2 linked regions of the Lonchura striata genome follow. The protein of the gene in region 1 purifies or fractionates together with the protein of each later gene. This does not show direct contact. Links are inferred from orthologs where the notes say so. Each region holds a gene or a part of one and is shown in the gene's direction. Other genes may lie near its edges. The genes, in order: OSBPL8 and GLG1.

Region 1 (3,906 bases):
AGTATGATATGTGGTATCCTTGAAAATAGCTTTTAAAGCATTGCTCTGTCACAAGGCAAGACACAGATGAGTCATGAATTGCACACATGTGCAGGACTGCTTCCCAAAGCTAGACTCAGTCTATTCTGTAGACTGCAACCACCCTTGTGAATTAAAGCTCCACAGTATGGAAGGCTGGGTGAGTGGCTCTTGTCAGAGTGAACTATTTAATTCCAGAGCCCTCCTTTGGAAAGAAGTATTGTTTAATCATAAAAAGCTTTGTACAAAGAAACTTCAATTTTGTTTTCATCATTAGATATGTTCTCTGTATTATTCAACATTTTATACCTCATTGCTGAGAAGACAAAGCAATCTTCCACAGGCAGGAATATATACACATCTTTCTACAGAAGCATTAATGAGTACTGAGAAAAGAATAGTCAGCCTTTTAATTAACTCTGATTCCAAGGAACAGAATGAAAAGATTGTGAGTGGAACATTAGCCCAAGATAATGGACTCCTAGTCACACTGCTGCATAATTGAGATACAGCCGATGATTTTATGAAAATTGGATGGAGCAAAAGACTTATTTCTGGAATTGGAAACATTAATCCTGTGTCAACTTTTCTGCATCACTCGTTGCGAGTCAGTGCTGAAGGTGCCAGATATCTTCTGAATGCACTGACAGTACTTTCCCTTAAAGTCAGTGAAGATGCTCTGCATTTAGCAACTGTTTCAGCACTGTCAACTGGCAGGTGATAACAATGTAAGGTACGTCCTGATGCTACTTAAAATAGAGTAATATGTGTAAGTTGCTCATGGTGGTTTTATTACTGAGGACATCTTTAAAAGTCCTAGGAGAAGAGGAGGTTCAGGGGTAACGTTGCTGCTGTCTCCAACTCCCTGAGAGGAGGATGTAGCCAGGTGAGGGTCAGTCTCTCCTCCCAGGGAGCCAGCAACAAGACAAAAGGACATAGCCTTAAGCTGCAGCAGGAAAGATTTAATTTGGACATTAGGAAGAATTTCTTCATAGAAAGGGTGATTAGACATGGGAATGGGCTGGCCAGGGAGGTGGTGGAGCCACCGTCCACCCGTGGAGGTGTTTTGAGAAAAGACTGGATGTGGCACTCAGAGCCATGGTCTAATTGACATGGTGGTGTTGGCTCATAAGTTGGATTCGATGATCTCAGAGGTCTTTTCCAACCTAATTGATTCAGTGATTCTGAGAAGTCACATTTTGAGGCGACTTAAAAAAAAAAAAAGCAGTGAGGGGTTCCTGTTGTGACGCTAATCTGAGACCACGTCTTGCAGTTTTTCGGGCATGCTTCAGACCTCATTTTATTCCCACTGTTACTACTTTTCCGCTGCCTAGGTTATCCCGTAACACCAGGCTGGGCGATGTCACAGCGCCGGCGCGCCACCCGAGCCCGTGCTTCTGCCGCATTCTGCGCGGCCGGCGGCGGCAGGGCCGGGATTCCTCCCGGGGCAGCCGCCGCCCTCACCGCGCGCAGCTCCGCGGGGCGGGGCCGCCGCCGCCCGCGCCTGCGCGCGCGCCCCCGCCGCGGCGGATGAGCGGATCAGGCGGCGACCGGGCGGGGCCGCGGCGGCAGCAGCGGGAGCGCGGCAGCGGGAGCGCAGCCCGGGACGGCAGGGGAGGGGTCCCGGCCGCCGCCCCCTCCCCTGCACCGGCCGGGCGCCGCTCCGCGCCTCCCGCCGGACCTGCTGCGGGCAGAGGTGAGGGCAGCGGCGGCTCCGGGGGCAGCGCCAAAGCGACCGCGGCTGCGGGCGGGACGCGTGTGCCGCGGTGCCGCCGGGGCCGCGCTGCCGTGCGTGCCGCCTTCCCCCGGCTGCCGGGCGGGACGGGGCTGCCGGGAGCCCCCGGGGGTCTCCGGGAGCGCCGGGGCCGGTGAGTGTTGCCGGGCGCCGGCCGAGCGGCTGCTCGGTGCGGCGCCGGGCCGCAGCACGGTCCCGCGGAGCCGGGCGCCGCGGCCGGGGCTCGCGGCCGCGGGCCGGCTGCTGCCAGTGCGGTGCGCGCAGCCCGGGCCCGCCCGCCGGCCGCCGTTGAAACCGGCGGCGTTCAATGCAGTTAGAATGTGGCTGCCGGTAACCCGCTTCCCCTCGCACTGGGAAAATAAGCGTGCGCTGTAGCCGTGCCCTGGGGAGCGAAACCTGGCTACTGTCCCCCGTCCCGTGTGCTGCCGGCCGCGCTTCTGCATCACTGTTAGCAGGCCTTGCGAATGGCTCGCTTCCTAAAGAGCCTGGGCTCCAGGGGCGTTTTGCTCAGCGAACGAGCAGATCGTTCCGATGAGGTTCACAGGGTTGCTTGAAATAGTGGTGTTCACAAGTTGTGCGTTGTATCAGTGCGCTGTAGAATTCCCCTGATTGGAGGAAAGCCATCAATTCAGTGTGTCACTGAAGATGCTTCTAATGTGTTTTGTGTTGCCACTGTCCAGAACAGAGTTCTTGGGATTGAAAGATCTGGATACCTTTTAAAAGGAGTTGATTTTCATCTGGCGGCTTTCATAACTTCATTTATTTTAACTTCATCATAGGGAATACAAATCTATTTGATCTGTTAAGTGTTAATGCAATCGGGACCCTGCTAATGCTCATTAATTATCAGCCTCAGTTTTGAAGTTCGGAAAAGACAGGAGTTAGTACCGAGTTGTTAGTCTACAGTGAGCATAATGGCCAGCAACAGAGCTGTGCAGAGAGCAGTGCTTCCCACTTGTCTTTGTCAGGTCTGTTGAGTGAGCGTTTAGAGATGATGCAGTTCTGGTTTTCAATGATGCAGAAAAGATGAGAAGAGAACATAGCTTTGTTGGCTATCAAGTAACTGTAGAATGGACTGGTGAAATTTTCTGTGTGCTGTTTTGTTTTCGAATTCCCTGCAAACTTCTGAGGTAATTTGTTGTTTTAGCCTAGTACTAGTTTTTAGTCAAAACTCCTGAGCTTTGAAGTAATTTGTTTTATGATTATACAACTTTCCAAAACTTGGCTGTAGAGCCCTCCTTTCCAGATGCTGGTTTGATGTGTCTACTTCAGAATTGAGACTAGTTGAGGGAAAAAGAGATGTGTGATTGTGATCACTTGTGGATCCTTTGACTCTTTTTTTTCTTTCTTTCCTTTTTTTTTTTTTTTATTGTGGAGTTGCAAAGATCTTAGAATCATTTAGTTTGGAAAATACTCTAAAAATCATATTGTAAATAAACCTAATATTTTGAGGCTGATGTAGCTTAGGCCTAGCAATGCATAATCCTTTTTCTACTTTAATCATGGGTCAGGGAAAGAACTCCTTTTAAACACGCTACTTTGTCAAATTAGTTCAAAAATTACTTTTTAGTAAAGGTCTATCCAGTTCATATCTCTGCTGCATGTATAAACCCCCAGAGTACCTCAAACTCTGTTGATGTTTGTTAACTTTTACAATAGAAGGAGGAATTTTCTGATGTTGCAGGAAAGAATGTTGGACTCGTACACTTTTTATGAGGAACTGAACTGGGACAGAAAGACTTCAGTGGTCCTGTTTTTTTTAACAATGCATTATCTCAGGTTTTGCTCCAAAGAGAAATAAGATGCAGAAATGAAAGGAAGATAATTTTGGGAGAAGGGAAATTTATTGAAGATGGCTCATTTTTAGATTGCCTTTTCTTAAATTGAAGTGATTGAGAAGGGTCTGAGGCAATGCAGCATGTACCCATTTTCTTTCCTCTTGTCTGCTGTTAAACTTTCAAATAAATGGTTGTGCAACTGCCTAGTAAAGAAACTATGCATACTTTGTATTCTGTGAAGTTGTGTTCCAGCCTCCTCTCTGTCCAGTAAATCTTTGCATAGAACACTCAGCCAAGTTTTAATGAACTGTATTGAGTCAGTTATTAGGCTTTCATCTCTTCACTGATTACTGCTTTGCCACCTGCTTCCCCACT
Region 2 (3,906 bases), on another chromosome or scaffold:
TTTTGTCGAGATCGTGTACTTTTTCTTTGTCATTACGTGTTTTTATTTCATTCTCTATTTTTACTTCATTCTTCAGTATTTTTTCTGCATGCTTTTTTAATCTGTTTTGCTGTATTTTTTCTTTGTTCTTATGTATTTTATCTTTGAGATCCTGTATTTTTTCTTTGTTTGTCCACATTTTTGTTACATACCCTTTTTGTACTTCATTGTTCTTTTTTTCCTCTTCGATATCCTCTAATCGTTCTGTCTTCATCTGTATTTTCATTTCGTTCTTCCGTATATTTTCCTTGATCCTCTCTATTTTTACTTTGTACTCCTGTATTTTTATTTCATTCTTCTGTATTTTTTCTTTGATCTCTTGCATTTCTTCTTCAGTGTTCTTAATTTTTGCTTTGATCGCCTGCATTTTCTCTTCATTCTTCTGTAATTCTTGTTTGTATTTCTGTATTTGTTCATCCTTGTCCAGACTTGGCTCATCAACCAGCTCCCTAGAACTGTCATCAGACACTTTCGCAAAGGTCAGTTTCCCCATTACGTCTCCCGCCTCCTCAGTCGCTGGGCAGCCGAAGCGCGAGTGGGAAATGAGATTTCGGGCAAAATCTGCAGCTACTGGACACCTGCTGAGGGAGGCGCTGGCCCGGCTGCCGCCTTCCCGGGGGGCTGAGCACGCCCGGGCTCGGCTCCTGGCGCCCCGGCACCGCCGCTGGCTCGGCCGTGTCGCCCCGCGTGGCTGTGGGGTGGCGGAGGCCGCTGAGGCGATCCGGGAGCCGTTGCGGGGCTGCGGGAACCGTTGAGGGGGCTGCGGGGCGGCTGAAGGGCTGCGGGGCAGCTGAGGGGTGGTGGGGTCCCCTGAAAGGCTGCGGGGCCGCTGAGGACGTGCTGGAGCCCTGAGGGGCGGCGAGGGCCGTCGGGCCCGGGGAGCCGCGGGGACCCCGGGGTGGCGCCTCGTCCTCCTGAGGCGACAACGGCCGAGGCGGCGCCGCCGCGCGTGCTGCGGGAGGGGCCACAACCGACCACGCCCCCTAGCGGGAAAGGGGCGCGTCCCGCTGGGGCGACGTCACGGGCGCGCTAATTTGCATACGCCGTGCGTGCCGCGGGGTGGGCGGGCGGACGCCGGAGGTGGCGGATCCAAGATGGCGCCGTGCGGACGTGTCCGGAGCCGCTGCCCGGGCCCGGCGCTGCTCCTGCTGCTGGCGCTGGCGGCGCGGCCGGCGGCGCCCAGCGCTCCTGCCGCTCTTTCCGGCCCCGGCGGTGCTCCGCCCGCAGCGGGGCAGCCGGTGGGGCCGGGCGCGGCTGCCCCGCGAAGTGCCCGCGGCGGCGGGTCGGGCAGCGGGTGGAAGCTGTCGGAGGAGGCGGTGTGCCGGGAGGACGTGGTGCGGCTCTGCTCCAAGCACAGCTGGGCCAACAACCTCGCCGTGCTCGAGTGCCTGCAGGATGTCCGCGAGGTGAGGGTCGGGCCCGGGGCCGGGCCGGGCCTGCCCGCGGCGGCGAACAAAGAGCCGGGTCCGCGCCCCGCCGCGCCGCCGCCCCGCGTATCCCTCATGGCTTGTGTTTTAAAAATCGGAGTTTGCGCTGCGGAGCTCCGTGAGGGGGAGCGAGCTGCCTGCGGGGTGGCCGTAAGGGCTCCGGCGAGCAGCTCCTCTTCATCCGCACCTCGGGGCTCGGCGCTGCCGCCCGCGCAGCGCCCTGCGGGCAGGGAGAGCTCTCGGGGATGGCTTTGTGCTCCGGCTCCGGTGCTTGCGGGGTTCTTCTTTTCTGGAGGTCTGGGAGAGCCCAGCCTGCCTAGTGCTGAGTGAAGGCGCCGTGCTCATAGCAGCAGTGACCTGAGATGTTTTTTTCACGTTCAGGCTCCCACCTTCGCCACGAACTCGGCTGCAGAGGCGGCTGCTTTCCAGTCCTCGGTTGTGCATGTATGAAACTCGATATATAATCGTTGGATTTAGCTGACTTTATGGGGAGGTTAACAGGACAGTCTGTGTTGTTCCCATACACCTGTCGTGAGCAGTTTTAACTCCAGTTCAAGAAAAAACTGAGTTGCCTCCTCCGAGTCTTCCAGCTCCATCTTTTCATTCATTCCTGGGCTCGTTTTGAAGCAGCCTTTGGGGACGTGCCTTTAGTGAGCTGTCCTGCCTAGTCTCGAGGTCTATATATTCTTGGCTTCTCTGCTGTAGAGTCCGGGAATGCCAGACTGGGTCAATTTTATTGGTGTTTTGCCCAATAGGGAATGCGATTAGGAAAAACCTGGGCTTGTTTTTCATCCATTTTTATGGGGACAGCAGATGGCAGTGGCAATGGGTACTCTAATCAAAGGGAGTCTTGAACCAGTAAGTGTCAGTGATTACTTCTGGCTTAAAATGCAAAGCTAATTTAGATTTTAATCTAACTTCATGTTTTAATTTTGTGTGGGTAGTTAGTAAGACACTCGTGGTAGGTGTTTTAAATGAGTCTTGCTGCAAAATCTGTCACAGGTATGAAACATTCCACTATGTCCTTTATGAATAACTTGTCCCTTGCTGTTCCGTTCACCTGTCTGAGATCTTTTGGCCCCCTTTTTGGGAGGCATCCTGTCTGGGAGGATCTCGGAAGCTGACCTCACAGGCAGTGGCTCACAAGCTGCCAGCCTGCCAAAAAGGCAAGCTCTTGTTCCTTTCTTTCCAGTTGCATAGCCCCTCCCTACTCTTTTCACAGTTCCAGTGCTTGTTGGTTTTCTGCCATTTTAGCGAGGTGAACCCTTTTGTGGTCTAGTTTATTGGTTTTCTGCTGGAATAGTTTTGCCATTTTTCTGAGTTAAAGCACAGAGGGGGGCGAGTGCAGGGCTGGTACACAGGGCTGTGCAGGGAGAGGGATAAGATCAAATCAAAGGTGAAGGAATGTTTTGCATCACGCTTTATTTTCAGCAAGTACAAACCCTTATGTTAGCTCTGCATATCTCCTGAGAACTCCACTCTTTGAATGTTATGTCTGCTTGTGGTTTTCCCATTCCTAAGCCTACCTTGATGTCAGTAGTTTGCTGGCTCTTGATCTTGTCTAGCTGTAGTGTTGCCTGATGCTCATTGCTGAAGGTGAATTTTTTCCTGGGTGACATCCCAAGCATCGACAGAACATCTCAGGGCTCTTCTGGATTGAGTTTTGTTTCTCTGAAGGTGCCACTCTGGCCTTGCCCTTATTTGTCTGTCAGCTTGCAAAGAGCACTGTCAGCTGATCTTAACTCTCAACACTTTGCCCCCAGTAACACTGATGTGATGGGCTGCATCCTGACGTAAAAATGACTTCACAGGGTGCTGCTCCTAGAAATTAATTAAAATAGCTGACTTCTGTGTATCCCTACAGTTTAACACTTGATATTTAGACTGTGAATAAAGGTCTTGAGTTGTAAACATTGGGTAGCATTTCAGCTGCTTGGGAATGGGGTCAGATGTCGTCTCAGACATTTTCTTTGCATTGGAGATGACAGCAGAGGAAAGAAGTGACGTATTGTCTGTTATTGGTATAACTTCTACTTTTGACTCTAGAGCATCTGACCACTTGTTTGGACAATACCAGAAAAGTGACAATTACGTTTTAAAATGGGTGAGGATCTAGTCTGAGTCATACAGCCCACTTAAAACCAGTCAGGCTATAGTAAGTGGAGATTTGGGGGAGTTGTTTTGTGTGTGATGGTCTCAGTGTGGACAGTGTATGGACACTGCTGCAAGTAGCAGGTAAGATTTTTAGATGCAGTTAGGCTGCAGAAGTAGCCTTTTTTTCTCTAGGTGTTTAAGGTAATCTTACTTTTCTCATAAGAAATGTTTCTCTAAAGTGGAGAAAATTCTGTTTGAAACTGAGAGTGTTACTGTGAGGATTATCCATTGATTTTTCTTAGTGTGATACAAGTAGGCTAGGACACTTCTAAATATGAATAACCAG

What was found.
Region 2: the proteins of OSBPL8 (region 1) and GLG1 purify together in Homo sapiens (co-immunoprecipitation; 3 studies listed by BioGRID and IntAct, with this or other methods). This does not show direct contact. The link is inferred for Lonchura striata from reciprocal best matches to the Homo sapiens genes OSBPL8 and GLG1.

Annotation. Positions count from the first base shown.
Region 1 is NC_134607.1:47,136,526-47,140,431, reverse strand, and holds the start of OSBPL8 (oxysterol-binding protein-related protein 8), read left to right. Parts: upstream 1-1,580; 5' UTR 1,581-1,714; intron 1,715-3,906. UniProt on the Homo sapiens protein: Lipid transporter involved in lipid countertransport between the endoplasmic reticulum and the plasma membrane: specifically exchanges phosphatidylserine with phosphatidylinositol 4-phosphate (PI4P), delivering phosphatidylserine to the plasma membrane in exchange for PI4P, which is degraded by the SAC1/SACM1L phosphatase in the endoplasmic reticulum.
Region 2 is NC_134615.1:15,920,746-15,924,651, forward strand, and holds the start of GLG1 (Golgi apparatus protein 1), read left to right. Parts: upstream 1-1,124; 5' UTR 1,125-1,133; coding exon 1,134-1,445; intron 1,446-3,906. UniProt on the Homo sapiens protein: Binds fibroblast growth factor and E-selectin (cell-adhesion lectin on endothelial cells mediating the binding of neutrophils).